Linked DNA regions of Nothobranchius furzeri. The protein of the gene in region 1 binds, or shares a complex with, the protein of each later gene. Links are inferred from orthologs where the notes say so. Each region holds a gene or a part of one and is shown in the gene's direction. Other genes may lie near its edges.

Evidence for each region.
Region 2: the proteins of kras (region 1) and rgl2 are in contact, whole or in part, in a crystal structure (PDB 8B69), measured with the Homo sapiens proteins. The link is inferred for Nothobranchius furzeri from reciprocal best matches to the Homo sapiens genes KRAS and RGL2. Residues at the interface, in NP_001356715.1 of Homo sapiens: Ile24, Gln25, His27, Val29, Glu31, Asp33, Pro34, Thr35, Ile36, Glu37, Asp38, Ser39, Tyr40, Arg41, Lys42, Tyr64; in NP_004752.1 of Homo sapiens: Ile651, Arg653, Glu660, Asp661, Gly662, Ser663, Val664, Tyr665, Lys666, Ser667, Ile668, Leu669, Lys685, Lys686, Asn688, Arg689.
Region 3: the proteins of kras (region 1) and rgl1 are in contact, whole or in part, in a crystal structure (PDB 7SCX), measured with the Homo sapiens proteins. The link is inferred for Nothobranchius furzeri from reciprocal best matches to the Homo sapiens genes KRAS and RGL1. Residues at the interface, in NP_001356715.1 of Homo sapiens: Ile24, Gln25, Glu31, Asp33, Pro34, Thr35, Ile36, Glu37, Asp38, Ser39, Tyr40, Arg41, Leu56, Tyr64, Met67; in NP_001284600.1 of Homo sapiens: Ile651, Arg653, Asn660, Gly661, Asn662, Met663, Tyr664, Lys665, Ser666, Ile667, Met668, Lys685, Asn687.

Annotation. Positions count from the first base shown.
Region 1 is NC_091744.1:73,813,619-73,821,392, forward strand, and holds the start of kras (GTPase KRas), read left to right. Parts: upstream 1-2,608; 5' UTR 2,609-2,864; intron 2,865-5,114; 5' UTR 5,115-5,121; coding exon 5,122-5,232; intron 5,233-6,965; coding exon 6,966-7,144; intron 7,145-7,394; coding exon 7,395-7,554; intron 7,555-7,774. UniProt on the Homo sapiens protein: Ras proteins bind GDP/GTP and possess intrinsic GTPase activity. Plays an important role in the regulation of cell proliferation.
Region 2 is NC_091745.1:62,343,888-62,350,987, forward strand, and holds part of rgl2 (ral guanine nucleotide dissociation stimulator-like 2), read left to right. Parts: intron 1-1,220; exon of another isoform or gene 1,221-1,383; coding exon of another isoform or gene 1,384-1,485; intron 1,486-4,550; coding exon 4,551-4,598; intron 4,599-4,870; coding exon 4,871-4,954; intron 4,955-5,029; coding exon 5,030-5,196; intron 5,197-7,100. UniProt on the Homo sapiens protein: Probable guanine nucleotide exchange factor. Putative effector of Ras and/or Rap. Associates with the GTP-bound form of Rap 1A and H-Ras in vitro.
Region 3 is NC_091748.1:53,019,000-53,026,099, forward strand, and holds part of rgl1 (ral guanine nucleotide dissociation stimulator-like 1), read left to right. Parts: coding exon 1-52; intron 53-145; coding exon 146-270; intron 271-351; coding exon 352-567; intron 568-656; coding exon 657-760; intron 761-874; coding exon 875-959; intron 960-1,106; coding exon 1,107-1,196; intron 1,197-3,033; coding exon 3,034-3,120; intron 3,121-3,931; coding exon 3,932-3,964; intron 3,965-4,073; coding exon 4,074-4,195; intron 4,196-4,456; coding exon 4,457-4,546; intron 4,547-4,633; coding exon 4,634-4,829; intron 4,830-7,100. UniProt on the Homo sapiens protein: Probable guanine nucleotide exchange factor.

The DNA of each region.
Region 1 (7,774 bases):
AGCGTATGAAAATGGATGGATGGATGGATGGAGATTCATCAGGAAATTAAATTAAACATAACATTTAAAATGGATTTCAGCCTGTCAGTGCTTTGGTAGTTTGATATGTGGGCTGTACATAAAAACTCCTTCTAAAACAATTCATCATATCAAATAGAAACTGATCTGCATTGTATTTTATTTTGAAAAAAATTACTATGGTTAAAGTAAAACATACTTTAATTACATTTGTGTTATAGATGCAATAAAAAATGATTTAATGACTCCAGTGTGGCCCAAAATAAACATCAGATCTAACTGATAATGTTTGTGACACAAACTAAAATCAAAACAATCTAAATATACTAATGTGAAAGTAAAACTTTTATTGAAATTAAAGCCCTGATATAAAAGTATTTGACAGGCTCTGTCTGTAACAACACGTGTTGTTTTGGATGTTATTAAAACAAATTCAGTGGAGGCAACAAACCATCATAAAATGAGATAATTACAGCAGGTGAAACTCCTGGAAAAGTTTGGCTTTTACATAGTTGATCAGTTATGGCTTTTATTATCTCGGGGACTGATCCTGACTGAACCATCAGGCACTGGTTTAAAGGTGATCTGTAGATCATTTTAAAGGATACAACTAGTTAGTATCCAAAGTTTGTTTTAAAAACAGTGACAAGAATACATTTCATTTGTTCAAAAGCAAAACTAAGAACTAAATTCAACATCCATTACATTTAGAACTACAAGCTACACCGCCTGCCAGAAAAAAACACCATCACAAGAAAAAGGTCACACACACTAATATTTCAATTTGCTTTTATTACAGCACATTCGCTGTGACATTGTTTTGATAAGCTTCTACAATGCCACCAGGTTTATTTCCATCCAGTGTTGCATTAATATTTCACCAAGATCTAGAGTCTGACTGTTGCACAAAGCCTTCTCCAATACATCCCAAAGAGTCTCAATGGGGTTCAGGTCTGGACTCAGTGGTGGCCAATCCATGTGTGAAAATCATGTCTGCTCCTTAAACCACTCTTTCACATTGAAACCTGACATTATCATCTAGGAATATGCTAGTGCCATCAGCGAAGATGGAATAACCTGGTCATTCAGTATATTCAGGTAGTCAGCTGACCTCATTCTTGGAGCACATCCTGTTGCTGAACCTAGACCTGACCAACTGCAGCAACCACAGATCATAGCACTGCCCTCACAGGTTTGTACAGTAGGCACTAGGCATGTTGTGTGCATCACATCATCTGCCTCTCTTCTTACCCTGATGCACCCATCACATGGAACAGAGTCCATCTGAACTCATCAGACCAATTAATAATGTGTTGGGAAGTCCTTAACCCAATCTTAAGTCATTTCTCCTTAGATGTTTTCTCTGCATGATGCATACCAATAATTTGACCCCACTTAAACATCTTTTCCAAAGTAAAGCACTTTGGAGTCCTCTGACTCTGAAAGGTGCTACACAATGTGGGTCGTTTATCATTTCTTTAGTCTTGTTGAGGAAGACCAACCTTCTGTCTGAAGAAAGAGGGTGAACAGTTCTGTGCTAATGAGATCCTCCATTGTCTTTGCTCTGATTGTGCATCTGCTGGAGGAAATGCCCTCCAATGAGGAGAGGCAGCTGTTGGTAATTTTATTCAGCAGGTCTAGCCCATCTTTGCAGCACCTTCTTGTAATCCCCAAAACAAAACAGATGTTCATGCTGTAATTTTTTAGGATGGAAGATAATTTATTCAAAATAATAATAATGCATTTACCATTGTCTGCCATGGTTTCTAAAGCTTGATCAATCCAAATAAGTCTAAATTTAGACCTGATTCTAACTTATAACATTTTTAGTTGCCTCAGATACATAAAAAATATATAATTTTATAATTTTACTGGTTAGTCTTTGTGAGCGGCTCAGTTTAAGCAGCTGGGTCCTTTTGTTTGCAAAGATCCTTCTTAAATGCTTAAAACAGATTTTATTGACACAGAAATCCAATTTCGGCGCTTTAATGCCGTTTGTGCCCTCTGGATCAGAAGTCTGCGCTTTTTTACAAGCGTACTGTTTATTTATGCATGTGTGCAGCGCAGCAGCAGCGCCAGTGAGCACGTAGGAAAACTGACGGGGGATTGCCAAATCATTTCCTTGCTTGGGAATGACGTCCATCCTCCAGCACATTCCAGTTATATTTAGAGCCTATATATAGTGGAGTCGCCCCGTAGGCTTTGTTGACTCTGCGGCGCGCTGCAGCGGTAGCAGCGGGTCTCGCTGGAGGACACGAAACCCACTCTACGTGACCTGAAACCTATCAGTGTTGTCCGATTTTAATAAAAATGCAAGCACAAACATTCCGTTTGGTTTTAGTTTAGATGCAACAAAAAGAAAACACCGGTTTACTTGAGATATGGGAGTTGGAGAATGGGCATAGTTTGATATGACGAGGATCTTATCAACATATGGGTAATAATAAAAGAAACGAGCGTATTTTCGGGATCGTATTGCGACACACGCTTGAGTGATTTGACCCAGGCCGGTTGAAATCCACAGCTATGGTTTCTGGGTAAAGTAAGCCCTGGTATCCGCCCATATTCGCGTAACGCAGCAGGCCACACTGAGCAGCAGCGGCTAGGCCGAGGGGAAGCTGGATCTCATCAGATCAGATGGAAAGTTCAATCGATTAATTCGCCCACTTTATTTATTTTCCTTCCCCCTCTGCATGCTCCCGGTTGCTCCCGAAACCACGCTAGACCGACTCGAATGCGGGCTTTTTGGTGAGAAGTAGGAAATGCAGAGATCGTGTGAAGCGAGAGGATTATCTGCTTGACTTCTTTGGTCGCTACTTCAGACGCGGAACTTCACTCGCTAAAAGGTAAAACAAGCGCATAAGACGCATTAATGGCAGACTTTAGCATGTAGCCTTTGCGGAATTTCACTGTCTAATAAAACTAAGTTATTATGCGTTATTGAAACACTGGGCAGCCTCCCTGTAGTCAAACATGTTCGTTTTTGGCTAAACTACGCCCAGTTAACCTACCGTCTGGCCCTACATTGCAGAGCTTTAGCTAGCTTGTCGATAGCGGCTTCTCTTCCCGTTTGAATGGATGACAGACTCGGCTCAGACACACTGAGCTGACAGAACAATAATATCGGCTAGCCTTTTTTTAATTATAAAACACAACGGGAAAGTGCGCAAGACTTTATTTTTTAACAGTAATTAAGTGTGAATGAGCGATCTCCGATGCTAAGCTAGCTAACATCAGCAAAGTCGCCTGAAGTACCGAGGACGTTTTCTTCTAAACTATTAAGGATAGAAGATTTAAATCAAACTCCTTTCCACTTTTATGCGCACCCTAGGGGCTCCTGCCTTCTTGAAGTCACTAAAGAACTTCCTCTGATTCCTCACAGGTAGCAAACTGTTTTCCAAGTAGCATTTTTGTTTATATGGCTGCTAATCAATCCCCGCATTAGCCCTCCAATCGGGGCTGCGCTGAGCTATTGAGCCATGTTCTCCAATGTTGTTGATGTATTAAGAAAAGAAACCACTCCACCATGCTGGCACAGACGCCTGGAATAAACTTTCAGTTTTTCAAAGCCGCACCATAAAAAATTTCCTGCAGTTTCAGGCGGTGAAAGTGAACTTTACGACTTATACGACTTACCTGCTGCTTTTTAGACGAGGCTGTGCTCAGCTTTTTGCACCCCTGTTCAGTTGCATTTGCACAAGACTTTCTGAAAGGTGAAAATATGCTTTAGATGAACATTTTCCCACACGTTTATTTTCTGATTGATATCTAAAAACATCACTTCATTTGCATTAATATAAATCTGTAACTTGCTGGTTAAAAGAACAAAACAAAACTTATTTGTTGTTTTCATTGTCTGAGCTCTGCAGACTTTCATCAGTTTGCGCTGTAACTTCTGAAAAGGCCAGCTGCAGCCATCGATCCACAAAGAAGTCACACACCAGAGCTTCACAGCCGCTTGTCAATTTTGAAGCTTTAATGTAATATTATGGATTTATGCCTGTGGTTAGTTTTAGTTGTAGAGGGGACAGTCATTGTGCTCTTTTATTCTGAGACTTGATCACATTGTGCTCTTTTATTCCGAGACTTGATCACATGGGCAAAGTTTTTCTCCTAATCCTTTTTTTTTAGCTCTCTACTCAATTATTTCTCATCTTGAGTCTGGTATTTCCCCCCAGAATGATCAGTAATTATACAAATTTAGTTTGTGTAGAAAAATAGGTTTTTTATCATTTAGTTGATGGTTTTCTGAAATCAGATTAATTAAAATACAAGTGTTCCCTTATTTTAGCTTAACCTCTGTTTGATTAATGATCATTTGTTGTGATTTCACGGTTTGTTCTCCCCTCAAGCGCTGTAGTTGATTACTAAAATAACCTTTCATAAAACTCAACTGTGTAAAATCAAAATTTCCAGTGAATCAGCAATGTTTTTCTGCCAGGCCGGAGCACACAGATTTCAGTTTATCAGACAAAAATAACAGACAGGAACAGGATCAGAGATTCTGCTGGAGGGGAACCCTTGAAAATAACCCTTTTTATGTAGAATTTAGAGCTTTTTATGATTATTGAAAGAGATCATGTATAGTTTTACCATTAATCTCTGGAAATATCCATCAAAATGCTATTTAAAATTAATTAAATGATGCAGAGTTGTTGAAAAATATTGGCGGCTTTGTAACATATAACAATAAAAATCGGGTCTAAAATACATGGGAGCGGGTCTAAAGCTCTGGGCGATGCCATGTTTCCTTCTACGGGAGCCCGTGAGGACAAAATGCATTTACTGATTTGTAACAAACGGTTACAAAACTTTCACCATTCATAAACGTTGTTTTACACATTTACCTCTTCGCTCATTGTCAGTGATAAAAGCGGAGCGTAACTGCTGTTCTTCAGATGAACGTTGATTTTATACGAAGAGGAAGTTTAGCACAGTTAAAATAAATTGTATTACTTAATCACTACAAGAACGTACGGGGAAATCTCTATGGTTGACCAAATTTGACTTGAGGAGAGATGTAGGAACACTGTAATGAGTTAATGCTGTAACATTTGAGTACAAATGAGACAAATATTCTTTATTTTGTCCGGCAGGTGAAACATGACAGAATATAAGCTGGTTGTAGTGGGAGCTGGTGGTGTGGGCAAGAGCGCGCTAACTATCCAGCTCATCCAGAACCACTTTGTGGACGAATACGACCCCACCATTGAGGTAAACATAAATGTGTGTTCTTGTTAACTGCACTTCCATGTCAGGAAGCAGGGATGCAAAAATAATGAGAAACTCTTTTTAAAAGCTTGTAACTGGCTTTACTGGTTTTGGGTTTTAAAAAGACACCAAACAGGTTTTTAATGACTTTTCATGCTTGGCTCCTGGCCAAGCTCCTCAGTGCCAGCCACATGCAGTGTGAACAATCTCATCATGATTTCAATCAATTATTGAAACGCTGTGGCAGGTTAGCGCTCTACCATGAATTACCCAGACACCAGATAGCATCTGAAAGTATGGCAGCTCATTGGATTCGTCTGTAATTATTCCTGTTGGATCCAATTGATGGCAGCCATCTGCGTGATGGAAAAAGGGCTTTGACAGAAACCTCTCTGTAATTTGAACTCTTCTAGAAAGCAGAGTGCCCCGCTACAACTAGAAAGGGGCGATAATGAAGCTGCGTCCCGTGGCATCTTTTATGTAAACATGTCATCAGAGACATTAACACAGTCGGGGCTGAGCAATTAAAAATGTGTATCATGTTTTTCACGAATTAAAAAAGGTCAGTGAGATCATACCCAGGCCAGGAGTAAAAATCTAGCATATAAGTGAAGCATGGCTAACACTGTAAGTCCTGTTGTTGTTTTTTAAAAACCTCCTTGGTGTATTGGCCAGAATCTGGCGATATGATATATATCACTGAAAAGGGGAGATGATAAGATGACCTTTGATGTTAAAACCAGATTATATTAGTAATGTTAAAAGATGAATTTAACAGTTTATGCCACAAATCCCAATTTTGACACTTCCTGACATTTTAGTCAGCTGAATTACTTTTGGGCTGCAGTAACGGTAGTTTTCTCTAAAGCATTTTAAAAGAGATACTTAGCAACTTTTTCATATTTTTAAATCATTTTCTTGAGCCAGTATGTGCTAAAATGACCCTTTCCAGGGTTAATGAAAGGCCTAGCGCCCCCTGTGGCCAGAATATCCCACTTGCAGCTTCACAGTTGCCGGTCTGGTCTGTTGGAAAAAATGGGCGTGCATACCTGGCGCTGCAGTCTGCGTCTGTCACATTTCCTGTATTAACACAGCTGATTTGTTTAATTTAGTGATGAATCAGCACTCTAGACACTAAGGAAGGCTGGGAGGCGTTTCAGCTGTTAGATTAAGGTGTGTTTGTTTGAAAGTGGTTAATAAAGATTATTTTTAAAGTAGTACAGTCAACGACCTTGATGCGTTGTGGTCGATGACGCAATGTTCACTTTCCCAATTCGGCAATTGCTCACTTGTTTACCACACACGCAAAACCTTACTGCGCACTTCTACCAAGTGCACTTTGCTGAAGACCGTAGGGCGCAGTGTGAGTATTGGTATTTGGACCCTAGCTTGTATCAGTTAGCAACCCAAAACAGAAGCTTAACTACTCTTCAAAGTTATGAGTGTAGGTGCTAGAACTGTATGATTTTAAGATAAAGGTTGAATTGTGATTTCTATCTGAGAAATTGAGATTTCAGTTCAGTTATAATTTTCTTCCAGTCAAGGTTCAGCACATTATTCACAGTATTGTTTAATATATAATATATCATAAAATCTAATCATTAGAAAAACATCAAAAGCAATAATATTAGGCAGTTGTTATCAATATCAACCAATATTTTCTTACATCCCTATTCGACAGACTTTTGTAGATTTTGGTAGTTTATTTATTTATTTTTTGCTCTTTACGATCCCAGGATTCCTACAGAAAGCAGGTGGTGATCGATGGAGAGACGTGTCTGCTGGATATTCTGGACACGGCAGGTCAAGAGGAGTACAGCGCCATGAGAGATCAGTACATGAGGACAGGGGAGGGCTTCCTCTGTGTCTTTGCCATCAACAACTCAAAGTCTTTTGAGGACATTCACCACTATAGGTGAGTTAGGAGGAGGAACTAAAATAGTCATTGAGAGCAAACATCAACACAAGATGTAAGGAAAACCATGAAAATGTATTTTGAATCCTACTTGAATAAAAGTTTTTTGGAGTTTTTGGAACATAATCTTAAATGAAAACTATCATGTTTCATTAGAACTTTGTTAGCATAGAAACTCTGGTGATCAGTTAGATCATTCAGACTAACAAACCGTTTTATGTTGATTTAAAATCTGTTTTTGAACATTCAGAGAACAAATTAAGCGGGTGAAGGACTCTGAGGACGTCCCCATGGTGTTGGTGGGGAACAAGTGTGACCTCCCATCCCGAACGGTGGACACAAAGCAGGCTCAGGACTTAGCACGCAGCTACAACATTCCCTTTATTGAGACCTCAGCCAAAACGAGACAGGTGAGTGCCCACACAGAGCCTCCTCACTTGTCCACTGCAGGCCAAATTCATCTTTATCCTTTTAATTGATCATGTCGGAGAACGTCAGACCCCTGCTATGTTGACAGATGTCTTTGGGAGGGTTTCTTCAATTTGGCAAGAAATGTGATTGCATCACGTGGTGCTGTTGATTTGTGTCACTTTTACTATCTCTAATGGTCTTTTTATAATAACGTTGCTG
Region 2 (7,100 bases), on another chromosome or scaffold:
CTAAATCAAACAAAACTATTGCTAGACATTCTCAAGGGAGTTTTACTGATAAAGGTCGGTCCCAAGGCAAGGTCATCCTCCTCGTAAAACCTACTCCTCCCTGTAAGACCTACTGGAGCCTGGTATCTATCAACAGGATGAAAAGGATGAAGCTACGTTTAATAAGACACCAGATGCTTAACAGTCAAGACATTAATATTAGTTCAATAATGACAATATCAGTTTTGATCTAACAAACTGCTTTGTCTTTAATAAAGTTTGAAGTATAGGAATCAATAGAACTATTATAACTTTTTTAAAGTCATCATATGTGTCCTGGTAATACTACTACAACAACAACAACTACTACTACTACTACTAATAATAATAATAATAATAATAATAATAATATAAGGTAATAATGTTTCAGCACTTATTCAAACATCTTGATTTTTTTTATTTGATGTAGGAGCTAAATAACGATCTAACAAGCAGTTGAGCTAACAATTTTAAAAGTTTTCAGCTTTTAAATGAAAAATGTTTCCTAGTTGGAATGCATTTTATCAACTCTCTTTCCGTTTAACAAAAAAATCGAATGGAGTTTTATTGCTTTTTGGTAAAATATTCTAAATAACAAAGGCTATATTTGTTAGCAATACAATCAAGTGAATGACTCTCTGTATGAAGCTGACTCCACTCTGTAACGCTGTTGCCAGTTTAAACAAACACCATTTTTACTTCCTGGTACATCTGAACATTTATATCCTCTCGTTAAGCGTTTACTCCTCTTACTGCTCAAACAACAGCTTGGGTTTTCAAACAAAACTAGCGTGAGGCCTGAGGTCCGCTAGCCTGTTAGAGGTTGTGTTGAATTAAAGCGGAAACAGACAAACTGGTTTATCTGCATAGGAAGGTCATCGGAACGAGAAAGAGGGCAGAAGAGTGGAGGGGAGAAATAATGAGAGGGTGTATTGTACTGGGAATAGCTTCCGGGCTCTGTGTGTGTGTGTGTGTGTGTGTGTGTGTGTGTGTGTGTGTGTGTGTGTGTGTGTGTGTGTGTGTGTGTGTGTGTGTGTGTGTATGTGTGTGTTGCTTATATATGAGTTCACTGATGAAGGCCTTTGTGTGCATAAAACTCGTGAGGGACGGTAAACAGGAATCGACGTATTCTTATCTCAGTTTGGTGAGTGTGTGTGTGTAATGGGTGTGTCCACATGATGCAGTCTTGTGGGGGCTGGACTTGGGTTCTGCTTCAGGTGCGTGTGTGTGTTTGAGTGTGTGTGTGTGTGTGTGTGTGAATCAAAGCCTGGAGTCATAGAGAGGGACACGCATCAGACAAAAAAACTCAGATCTGGGTCAGCGGACGCTGGATTTAGAGAAACTCTGGAAAACTATAAACCCCAGATGAGAAGCGGAGGAGAAAACAGGAAAAATGTCTGTGGTTTTATCCTGAAGGTTTCCAGGAAGCTCAGGGATCGCTACCTGTCAGGACTTGCCTTGGAGCAGGTAACTTGGTTACTTTGTCTGCCTGTGAACAGATTTCGTGGGAAAGAAGGACGTTGAGGCAGATTTGCCTCCAACACAGAGAGCAGGTTGAGTAACAGGTTTGGTGCTCGTGCTTTAGGACCGTTTGAATGCAGGAGGTTTTGTTTGGAGCTCTGACCTTCAAAAAGAACAAGTCAAGGTAATATAAAGAGGCTAATGGAAGCTAAAATGGTCTCATTACTAATAATGGCACCATTACTGTAGCTTGGCAGGCGCTTGTGCCGCTTTAACCATCTGTTATAACTCAGTCTGCATCTTAGAACACACATTTGTAACGGCCACTTGCAGCAATAAGTAAAATAACATTATTTTCTGGATGAACCAAAAGCGGAAATTATGGGTTTTAGTAGTGTTTTTAATGAGTGTGTCTAAGGTGTGACTATTGTGTTATGGAGGTGAAACCAGTTGTGTCATAAGGAGTCATTGTGAGAACAGCAGATTGTGCTCACGAGTTTGACATGTAGGTTTTAAAGTGTGGAAAAGCAATAGATGTAAAGTAATGCGAGACTTGAATGAAATGTAAACACAAGAGCAGCCCCACCCATCGCAGCACCAACTGTCATCTTCAAGATCTTTTATTCTGAAATCCTTGAGGTAAAGATCACGGATGAAGTGTTCCTAAAGATTCAGGAGTTTAATTTTTGAAAAAACAAAACAAAGCAGGTTACTTCTCACTGTATAAATGAAGAATTCATTACTGAATATTTTTATGTGTTTGATTTAAGTGGATCGGGCTGAGCCTCCCTGGTAAGGACTATTAGGGGGTTCTGGAGAGGAGGGTCAGTTGGATTGTCAAACATCAGAATCTACATGTGTTCCCTTGGGGGGCCCTGTGGGGGGTACTTTGGGAGTATGGGGTACCAGGCCCTCTGATATGGGCCGTTGGGTCCCTGTATGACCGGTGTCAGAGCTTGGTCTGCATCGCCGGCAGTAAGTCGAGCTCATTTCCAGTGAGAGGTGGACTCCGCCAAGGCTGCCCTTTGTCACAGATTCTGTTCATAACTTTTATGGACAGGATTTCTAGGAGCTGCCAAAGTGGTGATGGGATCTGTTTTGGTGGCCTGAGCACCAGGTCTCTGCTTTTTGCAGATGATGTGGTCCTGTTGGCTTCATCAGAATGTGATCTCCGGCTTTTGCTGGAGCGGTATCAGCTGAGTGTGAAGCGGCTGAGATGAGAAACAGCTCCTCCAAATCTGACACCATGGTCTTGAATCTGAAAAGGGTAGAATGTCTTCTCCAGGTCAGGGACGAGGTCCTGCCTCAAGTGGAGAAGTTTAGGTATCTCTGGGTCTTATACACGAGTGAAGGAAAGCTGGATCGGGAGATTGATAAGCTGATTGGTGCTGTATCTGCAGTGATGCGGGCGTTGTACCGGTCTGTCGTGGTGAAGAGAGAGCTGAGCTGGAAGGCAAAGTTCTTCATTTACTGTTTGATCTAAGTTCCCACCCTCACCTATGGTCACGAGCTTTGGGTTATGACAGAAAGAACGAGATTGCGGATACAAGCTGCCGAAATGGGTTTTCTCCGCAGGGTGGCTGGGCTCTCCCTTAGAGACAGGGTGAGAAGCTCGGCCATCCATGAGGGGCTCGGAGTAGACCTGCTACTCCTCCACTTTGAGAGGAGCCAGTTTAGGTGGCTGAGGCATCTGGTCAGGATGCCTCCTTGATGCCTCCCTGGTGAGGTTTTCCTGGCACGTCCAACCGGGAGAAGGTCTAAAGGAAGATCCAGGACACGCTGGAGGGACTATGTCTCTCGGCTGGCCAGGGAATGCCTTGGGTCTTCCCCAGAGGAGCTGGCCCAAGTGGCTGGGGAGAGGGAAGTCTTGGCCTTCCTGCTTGGGCTGGATAAGAGGAAAATAATTGATGGACGGTTGCCTGTTTTAGGCACATTATTTGTTGGAAAGTTTCTTTCTGAACAGGAAACCAAGGTAGACACATTCTTTTATTTCAGTTCAAATAAGGTTAAATTTAGATTTTTTTGTTTTGTTTTTAGAAGCTGTTTAAATTAGTGGCCCAGGATTATTTTGGGTTACATACCAGCAACCACTGATCATGTCAGAATTTTAGATTAAAATGATCTCAGGCCGATACACTCTGAATTTGTGTTGTAGAGGAGTGTAAAGGTGACAAAAACATCAAACCTTCTGTAATAATTGTTATTTTGTTTGTTGAGTTTGATTAACTAGATCAGCCATCTTAACTGGGGTTCACACCAAAACCTTACTGGCTGCAGGTCAACATCCAATTATTACTTTTTGAGAGTTACGTCATAATCTGCCGTTTTTGGCAGGGGGTGATGATTAAAGCTTCTGACAGCCTCGGATTCAGCTCCCTAACTTCCACTGATGAAGGTCAAACCATAGCAACAGTTGGATTATCAGATTTCCTGTGCCTAAATTCATGCTTTAATGTTTGTGGAAGTGTATTTATTTATCTGTGAGGTTCCTCATAGCTGTAGCTCTCAGATAAAAGTACGGCCCTTGTGACTTGGGCTGCAGGTCATCCGTCTCTTATCTCCATTCAAATGTCTGTGGAGAGCTGCAGCATGCATCACACTTTCTGTTTCCTCTGCAAATGACTCATTTCTGTCTGAGATGCAGCTGAAGGAACGATGATGAGACCAGACTTTGGTCCTGCAAAGACAAATCTCTGTGTTATGGATCATAATGGACTGTAGCTGATCAAAGATGTCCTCTGCAGGCTGAAGCATGAGCCAATTTTTGGGTTGGGGGTGTTTTATACGTGTTTATATGGTTAGCAAAAGCAGAAAAGAGTTTTCTTTAAATCTAAAACATGTTAAAAGGATGAAAATGTGATTGTGTTCAGGTGAACAGACTGCAGCTCCTGTAAACGACGGAAAAAGACAGAAACGTTTTTGTGTTGGTCAAAGTAAAGTTTATTTTAGGGAATTGTACAAACACACTCAGTTTTTACTTCAGACTGTGATTAAAAGATAAGTTGTGCTCCTATCTTGATTATTCTGTATTATTTTATTCTCTAAATTTGTTGTATGTGTCTCCTTCACAGGCAGATCCCTCACCGATGAAGACGACCTGGTACTGTCCTCTGGATTTGGTAAGGAGGGTTGGGTTTTGCACTCAGTAACGTGCATGGTGAATTAGTCGTGCACCAGAATGGGGTAACTGTGTCAGGGACATTTCCTGAGGCTAAAGCGGGATCGTTTGAACTACATGTAGCACAAAGGAAATGAGTTCAGAGAGGCCTGTGTTGTTTTATTTACACGTGGTGTGTGTGTGTGTGGGGGGGGGGGGGGCCTTCTGTCCTGAGCAGCTGATGATGAGGTGTTTTTTTAGGGGTTTTTTTTTAGTTGTTTCGTTGCTTTTCAGTCCACGGTGGTGGAGGAGGAGGAGGATGGAGTGATCTACACGGTTGTGGTCAAACAGCAGCATGTTTCTCCCAACAGTTCCATGGTGAGTTACCTCATGCCTAGGTCCGTTTCAGGAGACCAACAGAGGCTGAAACACGTCCTTCTCCTTCTGTTCCAGTCGACCGTTTCTCGTTCCCAGTGCGTAAAAGCAGGAACAGAGGAGAAGCTGGTGCTGCACCTCCTCCACTCCTTCGCTATGGGAGACTCGTCCTTCGTCTCCATCTTCCTCTCCACCTACCGGTCCTTCACCTCCAATGAGAGAGTCTTGGACATCCTCACTGACAGGTGTGTTCTGGTTTTCAGGGCATGAACAGCTCGTAAAGCACTTCCTGTTGCAGTGGAATTGCAACTGGACTCAAAAGAATAGAAAAACAGATTAATTCAGCAGATTTTAGAGCAACTTATGGAAGTTGCAAGTAAATAAGATAAATGGAGGGTCGTTTGCTTGAGCTCAGCTGTTTGATTGCTAATGTTTCCTTTCATTTATTCTTTGGCTTTGAACTTTTGAATAACCAGTATTGATAGCGTGACCATGGAGGACTCGTGTCATGTGAGGAAAAATAAAATAAGGAAGATATTGGTAGGACAAAACATTAACTCAGCTAAAACATCACATTTTAGCTAAAAGTGACATTTTCCAAAACTAACCTTATAAATAATTTTGTGCTTCCATGTGGGTCTCTACTGCCTCCATAAACACTCCAAACATTACCATCTGTTTTTTTTTGTCAGTGTTTGGTTTACGAATTATGTGCCTAAAACAAGCCGTTTCTAAAAGCCCCAGTTTGTGACATCACAAATAAAAAAATTTGAATAAAACCACTTCTCACATACAAAAGAGATAGCTGCTGGGGAAACAGCGACTCTACTTTGAGTCCCTCCCAGATGTTGGAGCTTCTCCATTTATAGCAGCCTGAGCTGAGGAGAGGTGGGCGTGGCCAAATCTGGCTTGCTTTCTTAAAGTGACAGAGCCTTGAAATGGTTCATTCTGGAAGGTCCTGAAAATGTCAAGACTAAAACCACTGATTTTGATTAATTTGAGAGTGTTTTTTATGCAATGAACTGAGTCACAGATCTGAGTAATCACCACCTCCAGGTTTAGCTTTGCACTTCCTCGTAATGTGTCTAGGAACTTTTATTCTCACCAGAAACTGATTCACCAACCATCTCTGGTGTTGAAGACGTTTTTGCAAAGCAGCTTCTGTAACAGAGATCACAAAAACTAACTGAAATTTAACAAAACACCAGCTCACTTTCCATGGTGATTTGGAATTCAGGGCTAAGGGTCCTAAAACCAAAGCTCACTGGTGAGATTGTTGGATTGAGCCTGGATATTTGCATGATTTTCTGTCCTTACGTCCATTAATGTGTATCTGCTGAGATGTTTATGCTGGAAAGTTTCGAACTTTCCAACAGGCTCTGGCATTGAGCCACATGCACCAAACACGAAAGCGTATGTTAGCGTACCTGACTAATGCACCTAACTTGAACTTTCACTGGGTGAACAGATTTAGTCTTCAGTGTTTTCCCCTCCAAAACGGATGCATCATTGCCTTGTAAACTAGAGCAAATTCTTGCCTTGCAAAGTTTGGTCCGGGAACGCTCCATTGGAATCTCCGCAGCCTTCTGGCTGGCCAATCACAGCTCTCTATAGGGGTTTCAAACCGAAAGAGCGCTGTGATTGGTCCACAATGGTGGATTTGTAATTATTATTTTTGATTATAATCAGCCTGTCTTAGTTGGTCATGCAGGCTGAACATGAAAATAGTCTCCCACACCTATCTCCTGCATTAGTTTCTGATAGAAAATAGATGGTGACACTTTAGGATTTGAAAGTCCTGACAGATCTACGTCACACTGTTATTTAAACTTCATTGACTCACCCATTTTGACTTGCGACGGGGAAGACTGTTGTTGGTTTAGCGTCCAAAGAGCAGAGAACATCTTGACTAGCAGAAGCTAACCTTTAGCGATTCCACCACATGGCAGAGCTCCTTCTCACTTGTGTTATTTGTGGAGAACATCCTGTCATGGTCAGCTCAGCTCTGATCTGGCTCACGTCTAGTTCCTGAAACAGGTGCACCAGAGCTTTGTTTTCCCCCAGTACAAATTACAAGGCATTCATTCCTACTAGAGAGCACTGCAAATGTATTAAAAATAGGAGTAAATTTGATCTTTAAATTAATCAG
Region 3 (7,100 bases), on another chromosome or scaffold:
GAGAGTCTGCTGGAGCAGCTGCAGGGTCAGGCCAGCATGGACGAGAGCGATGGTATTGTTTCTAAACCCCATCTTTACATATGTTTTGGATTTTATCAGTTAAAAGTCATTACTAACTCATTTATCTGATTTCCTCTGCTTTCAGCTGGTTTCCACGGCAACGGCTCTTTCTGCCTTGGGGAAGAAGAAGAGGTAGAGATCGAGGTCCAGGATGACTTCCTGTCATTTGAGGCCGACCTGGTGGCCGAGCAGCTGACCTACATGGATGCGGTGAGTGGAGGGAGGTCGGGTGAAGGCAAAGAGAAAAAAAGGAGGGTCAGTGCTTTTATGTAGTCTTTTTTTTTCTTCCAGCTGCTGTTTAAAAAGGTTGTACCTCACCACTGCCTGGGCTCCATCTGGTCTCAGAGGGACAAGAAAGACAACAAGCACACCGCTCCCACCATCCGGGCCACCATCACTCAGTTCAACGCCGTGGCGGCCTGCGTGGTCAGCACGGTGCTGAAGCACAGGCAGCTCAGACCGCATGTCAGGGCACGGGTCATCCAGCGCTGGATCGACATCGCTCAGGTCAGGGAGAGACGCGCAGCCACAGACTGGTCTAATCTGCCACACTGAGTTGAGTTCTGACTGCCTTAGTTTGTTTTTTCCTTTAACAGGAGTGTCGAATACGCAAAAACTTCTCATCTCTGCGAGCCATCGTGTCAGCGCTGCAGTCCAATCCTCTCTACAGGCTGAAGAGAGTGTGGGCATGCGTGCACAAGTGAGCCTCCAGTCTCTCAAACGTGTATTTGTCATAGGCGGATATGGGTTCATCTTAATTCACGTGCACATTGTATCTGCTGCATCTTCTGAAATGAATCTGTGTCTCACGCAGAGACAGCATGCAGACGTTCGAGGAGCTCTCAGACATTTTCTCTGACCACAACAACTACCTTACCAGCAGAGAGCTGCTCATGAGGGTGAGTCCTACGACTGCAGTCCAAACCCATTCATTAGATTCATGTGTTGCCGAGGCTCTTAACCACTCCGTGCACAAGCCCCAGGAGCATTTTTTCACTCACTGGATTGAATCTTGAGGACAAAAGCTAATTTTGTTCACCTTCCAGGAAGGTACTTCAAAGTTTGCCAGCCTGGAGAGCTGTGCCAAGGAGCACCAGAAACGCACCCACAAGAGACTCCAGCTGCAGAAGGAAATGGTGAGGCTAATTCGAGTGTTAAAAATACAAGACGCACAAGTGGATGACACATTCTGCACTAACAGTGCACTGTAAGGAGAAATTCTTGCTTCTCCAGGATAATGAAACCATGTGCTTATCTGTGTTTACCCGGTGCACTGTGTACTGTTCTCATGTTAAACCGAAGGTCTGATTTACAAGTCTGCGTCACCATCTGTGAAGACCACAAAGTAAATGATTGAATATGGAATATTGAGTCCTAGCAGCTCTGGCTGTAGATGAGAGGGTTTGTTGTAGATTTGCATTTGTAAGTTGTATTAATCACTTTGTGTGTCTGGTGGATCTCAATTCATATCTGGCATTATAACTCATTCAATCTGGTCCAGCATAGCAAATAATAATAAACAAACAAACAAACCTGCTACCAGAAAATGTTCAAGGGGAGATGGGGGGGGGGGGGGGGGGGGGGGGGGGGTTCGGATGGCACACCAAATTCGTCCCAGTAGTGACTAGCCTGCTGTGCATTTGCATTGCTCCTTCAATGGTTTTGATTAAAAAGCAACAGACCTGTGCATCCAGCACATTGACCTCAAATTTGAGAAGCACAAACATTTCAGAGGAAAAGACAAAATATCAAACAACGAATACAGTTATTTCAAATGTCATTGTTTTAAAATGTTTAAAACTCTTTATGTTCCTGTTTAACAACAATATCCTCTTGGATCTTTATATTTTTTGGGGAGAAATGGTGAGCCTCAGTTACACACTTAGTTACGGTCATATTAATTGAATCGTGACAAATCGCTCGTCATGAAGAAAAGAAAGTTGGGAGAAAGCAGGCAGGAAGTAACCTAAATGGCCTGTATTTGATATAGCGCCTTCTAGAGTCCTGGAACCCCTCAAGGCGCTTTACAACACAATCAGTCATTCACACACACATTCACACACTGGTGGGGATGAGCTACAATGTAGCCACAGCTGCCCTGGGGCGCACTGACAGAGGCGAGGCTGCCGAGCACTGGCGCTACCGGTCCCTCCGACCACCACCAGCAGGCAACGTGGGTTAAGTGTCTTGCCCAAGGACACAACGACAGCGACAGACTGAGCGGGTCTCGAACCTGCGACCTTCCGATTGCGAGGCGAGCACTTAACTCCTGTGCCACCGTCGCCCCTTTACTCAAAACCCGACCTAATCCATATGACCTTTGTTACAGCAGTAAGGATGTGTATATACACACCAATCATCCTGTATCGTCAGCAGCGCTTCCCCTGAACTCTACACTACACCTCTATATATGTTAGTAGTGCTCTGCTGCCACCTAGAACACAACATTTTCAATGTTCCATGTACATTTACGCTTCATCAATAACACATGTACTAATATCTACCTTCAAAAATACTTTATTAATCCCCGAGGGAAATTGATTGCTGTGTCCCAACAAGTACTACAATGTTTACCTAAAGACCAAAGTGATCAAATAGGCCTGCTCATCGAGGTGTCTGTGTCATTATTTTTGATAAGAAACATACATAGCTTGGGGGCCAATCCCCCCCCCCCCCCCCCCCCCCTCTCCTTTGGGGGCTCTTGTATGTTCGCTCTGTGTAATCCTTCCATTATTTTAATTCTTTTTTAAACACAGCGTAGCGGAAGATTTGTTTTTACCTTCTTTTTTTTTGGCTGACAAGTTTTGACAAACACTCTGAGAAAGGCTACAGCGTTAGCCGAAACCTGTCTGCAAAAAAAGGGTAAAAACAAACCTCCCCTTTTAGGAGATATGTGAGCCTAAACCGTTTCCTCTTGAGCATGCTTCAGGGATGTCAGATTACTTTGTTAATCAAAAGGACTTTTCCCCACAGGGAGCGATGCAGGGAACAATACCATACTTGGGGACTTTTCTAACCGATCTGACCATGATGGACACAGCCCTGCCAGACCTAGTGGAGGTAAAAATAAATCACCTGCTGTCTGTGTTGTGTGGGATAGGAGAGCATATGTCTGTAGGTTGAAGGAGCTCTGCAGACCTGAAGTTTCCATTAATGAAAGAGGATTTCTGTTGGTTTGTTTTGGGGTGGGCCACCTTCTGTTTGCTTAGGCAGCTTCATTTGGTACGTTCTTTCTAGGGATGTAAGAAAATATCGATATGACAATATATCGTGATATTTTTTCCAGCAATATTATATCGATATTCAAAAGCCGTGTATCGGAAATATCGATATGGCAATATATCGTGATTTTTTCCCTGTAATTAATACATTGATATTCAAAAGCTGTGTATCTAATTCTTGAAAGAATTTACATGCAAACATTTGTGTATTTTCTTTTCGTTTTGTGCAATTCAATCACCACCCGCTAGTTGGCAGCAGTGTGCAACGAGTTTTGTTTCCACCATTGAAATGTAAATCCCTCCCTCATGGTTCAGATACCTCATGTTAAACATGTTACGTATCAGTTTGGACTGTTTACTGAACATTCTTACAATAAATTCAGTAAAATAAATTGTTTGTAACGTCTGACTGAATGTATCGCAACATATCGTGATTTATCGTATCGTCTCCCCTGTATCGTGATGTGTATCGTATCGCCAGAATTTCAAAAATACATATCCCTGGTTCGTTCTGTGTTTATCAAAAAATGTCAAAAAACAAATCTTTATTACTCTGTGTGCCAAAAAGAACCAAATGATGGACTTTGCTTAAGCAGCTGTTGGTATGGGGGTCCCAGCTCTGACGGCGTGTTTCTTTTCATCTTCTGCAGGGTGGCCTGATCAACTTTGAGAAGAGACGCAGGGTGAGGGTTTCCTCTGACACCATAAGCCCTGACAATGATTGAGAGGCGGTGCTAAAGTAACGAGTTTGATGTTTTAAGCCCGTGTGCTGCTTTTCTCTGGTCTCTGCAGGAGTTTGAGGTCATAGCTCAGATTAAGCTGCTCCAGTCAGCCTGTAACAGCTACTGCCTGACTCCAGACACGGCTTTCCTCCGCTGGTTTAAGAGCCAGCTTCAACTCAGCGAGGAGGAGAGGTACTGCTCCTGTTTGCTTTTACTCTGGATGCCTTCTCTTTTTCCTTCTCTTCACCATTAAGAAAATTGCTGCAGCTTCTTTCCCTCAGTTTTTACTACTTCCCCTCATCACACCTCAACTCCCCACTGGCCCGTTGTGCTTGTATTTGTTTGCCTTCTCTGACTACTGCTAATCCAGTTCATAAAAATCCCCACGCACATGATGTGGTAGTGACTTTTTAAATTATGTTGAGGGTTCACCGTTACTACTCTGCTTTGCAGCTATGCCATGTCTTGTGAGATTGAAGGCCTCGGCGACAGCAGCCCGACTTTACTCAAAACTCGTAAGAGCATGGTGAAGAGACTCAGCCTGTGAGTTCCCTCAGAAAAACAGATGAGCGATCGATGCAACATTAAAGTTCTTCCACTAACGTGTATCTCCCTGCCTCTGTCGTCCAGGCTGTTTCTTGGAACAGACAGTAACACAGCCAGCTCCCCAGTCAGAGAGACGCCTCGCTCGCCCCCTACTGGCAGCTCCGGGGAGAGCATGGACTCTGTCAGCGTGTCCTCCAGTGACTCCAGCAGCCCGTCGGACAGCGAGGGACACACAACACCAACACACACATCTGACTCACAACTCTCCCATCAAAACAAGGTAGAATTATGTTTTTATAGCATTTATACAACATCTCCAATAAATTTAGCCCTTAAAGGGATACTAGGCAACTTTTTCAAAATTTTAAATCACGTTCTTAAGCCAGTATGAGCTAAAATGAGCCTTTACAGGGTTAATAAAACGTCACTCAGACCCCCACCGCCCTCTGTGGCCAGAATATGACGTTTGCAACTTCCGAGTTGCTGGTGTGGAAGCTGAAAAAAATGGGGCCGACATACCTGGCGCTGCGATCTGCTTCCAGCATGTTTCCTGCATGTTTTCGATCGTGAACACAGCTGGTTTATTTAATTCTGTGATGAACCACTCCTGTAGACACTAAGGAAGACTGGGAGATGTTTCAGCTGTTAGATTAAGGCGTCAGAAAAAGGTAGAATGCCTCCTCCGGGTCAGGGAGGAGGTCCTGCCAGGGGTGGACTGGGACCAAAATTGGGCCCTGGCGTTTTTATGAACTGTGGGCCCTCAGAGTGGGGTGGGGGTGGAGGGGGGTCGAATTTGGGGGGGGGTGGGGGGGGTTGGGGGATTTGTTGCTCGCGGACTCTTGATGGCCCAAGCTGGGTAAGCGGCCCACTTGGCTAAGCGGCGCACCGGCACAGTGCCAGATGAGCCAGTCCACCCCTGGGTCCTGCCCCAAGTGGAGGAGCGCGAGATCTATAAGTGGATTGGTGCTGCATCTGCGGTGATGTGGGCGTTGTACTGGTCTGTTGTGGTGAAGACAGAGCTGAGCCAGAAGGCAACGCTCTCAATTTACTGGTCGATCTACATTCCTACCCTCACCTATGGTCACGAGCATTGGGTAGTAACTGAAAGTACGAGATTGTTGATACAAACGGCGGAAATTAGTTTTCTCCGCATGTTGTCAGAGATAGGGTGATCATCCGGGAGGGGCTCGGAGTAGACCCGCTGCTCCTCCACATCAAGAGGAGCCAGTTGAGGTGGCTCAGGCATCTGATTAGGATGCCTCCTGGACACCTCCCTAGTGAGGTTTTCCAGACACGTCCAACCAGAAGGAGGCCTAGAGGGAGACCCAGGACATGATAGAGAGACCATGTCTCTCGCCTGGCCAGGGAACGCCTTGGGATTCCTCCAGAAGAGCTAGCCCAAGTGGCGGGAAGAGGGAAGTCTGGGCCTCTCTGCTTCTTCTGTAGCCCCGTGACCCAACTCCAGATAAGCAGAAGAGAATGGATGGATGGATGAATTAAGGTGTTTAAAAGACAAACGCACAGTGAGAAGATAACTTTTGCTTTTGGTTCTACTAAACAAACACTAGGGGGTACTAAAAGCAAACCAAAACTGCCTAGTCTCTCTTTAAAACATAAAAGTTGGTAAAAAATTGAAAAACAATATTTCACACTTACAACAACACTATCTAATCTATGTCAAAGTAACACATATTCTCTGTTTGAAACGTTTGGCTTCAGTCACAGTAGAAAGCAGAAATATGCATTTTTGGGGGCTTTTCATCAGAAACACCAGTTAAATTTTCTCTAACATCCAGAAAACAAAACCTCTCATTAACAAAGACAATTATTTCAAGAGTTGATTTCAAGGTTGACGCCTGAAAAGACAGAGATGGTTTTATCTGTCTGCTAAACATTTTATGTGAAAAATTCAACAGTTTAAAATGTTAATCAAAAAGTGCCAGAAGTAAAATAAAAAACAACAATTCAATAAACCCAACAAAACAAGAAAAGTGGGACAACATTTAAGTCCTGCTTCTGCCTTGTAAACGGATGGGACATTTTCTTGAATAGAAAAATAAAAAATCCACCTTGGGTCGTATTTTTCCAGAGTTGGACTCTGTATTTTTATATATTTGCTTCATGTTTATCTGTGAGCAATAAGTTATTTGGTGCTTAAAGAGCAAGTCACCCCACATAAACTTTTTTTGCTGATAAACTAAATAAACGAGTGTCTAATCGTGCTGCAGACACGTGTCGTCAATAATTTGGCACTTCAGTGCATCTTAGTTAAAATTTAAATATTCTGCCTAAAACTGGCAGTGTTGTGCCGTTGTCAGGTAAAAACTCTGCACTGTATTTTAATTTAAATCTGCCACCGCTATTGGCTAAGAAGTATGCTATGATGTAAACTGGTACATTATGATGTCACAATGCTGTCGTGAGCCTGAGTGTGTGTGTATTTGTTAGCGGCTCCGCCCTCTCAGTCTGCCAGGCAACAGCATTTGTTGCATTTTTCAAACATGAAGTGGGAGCAGAGTTAGACTCTGGTAGGGGTGACTTGCTCTTTAAA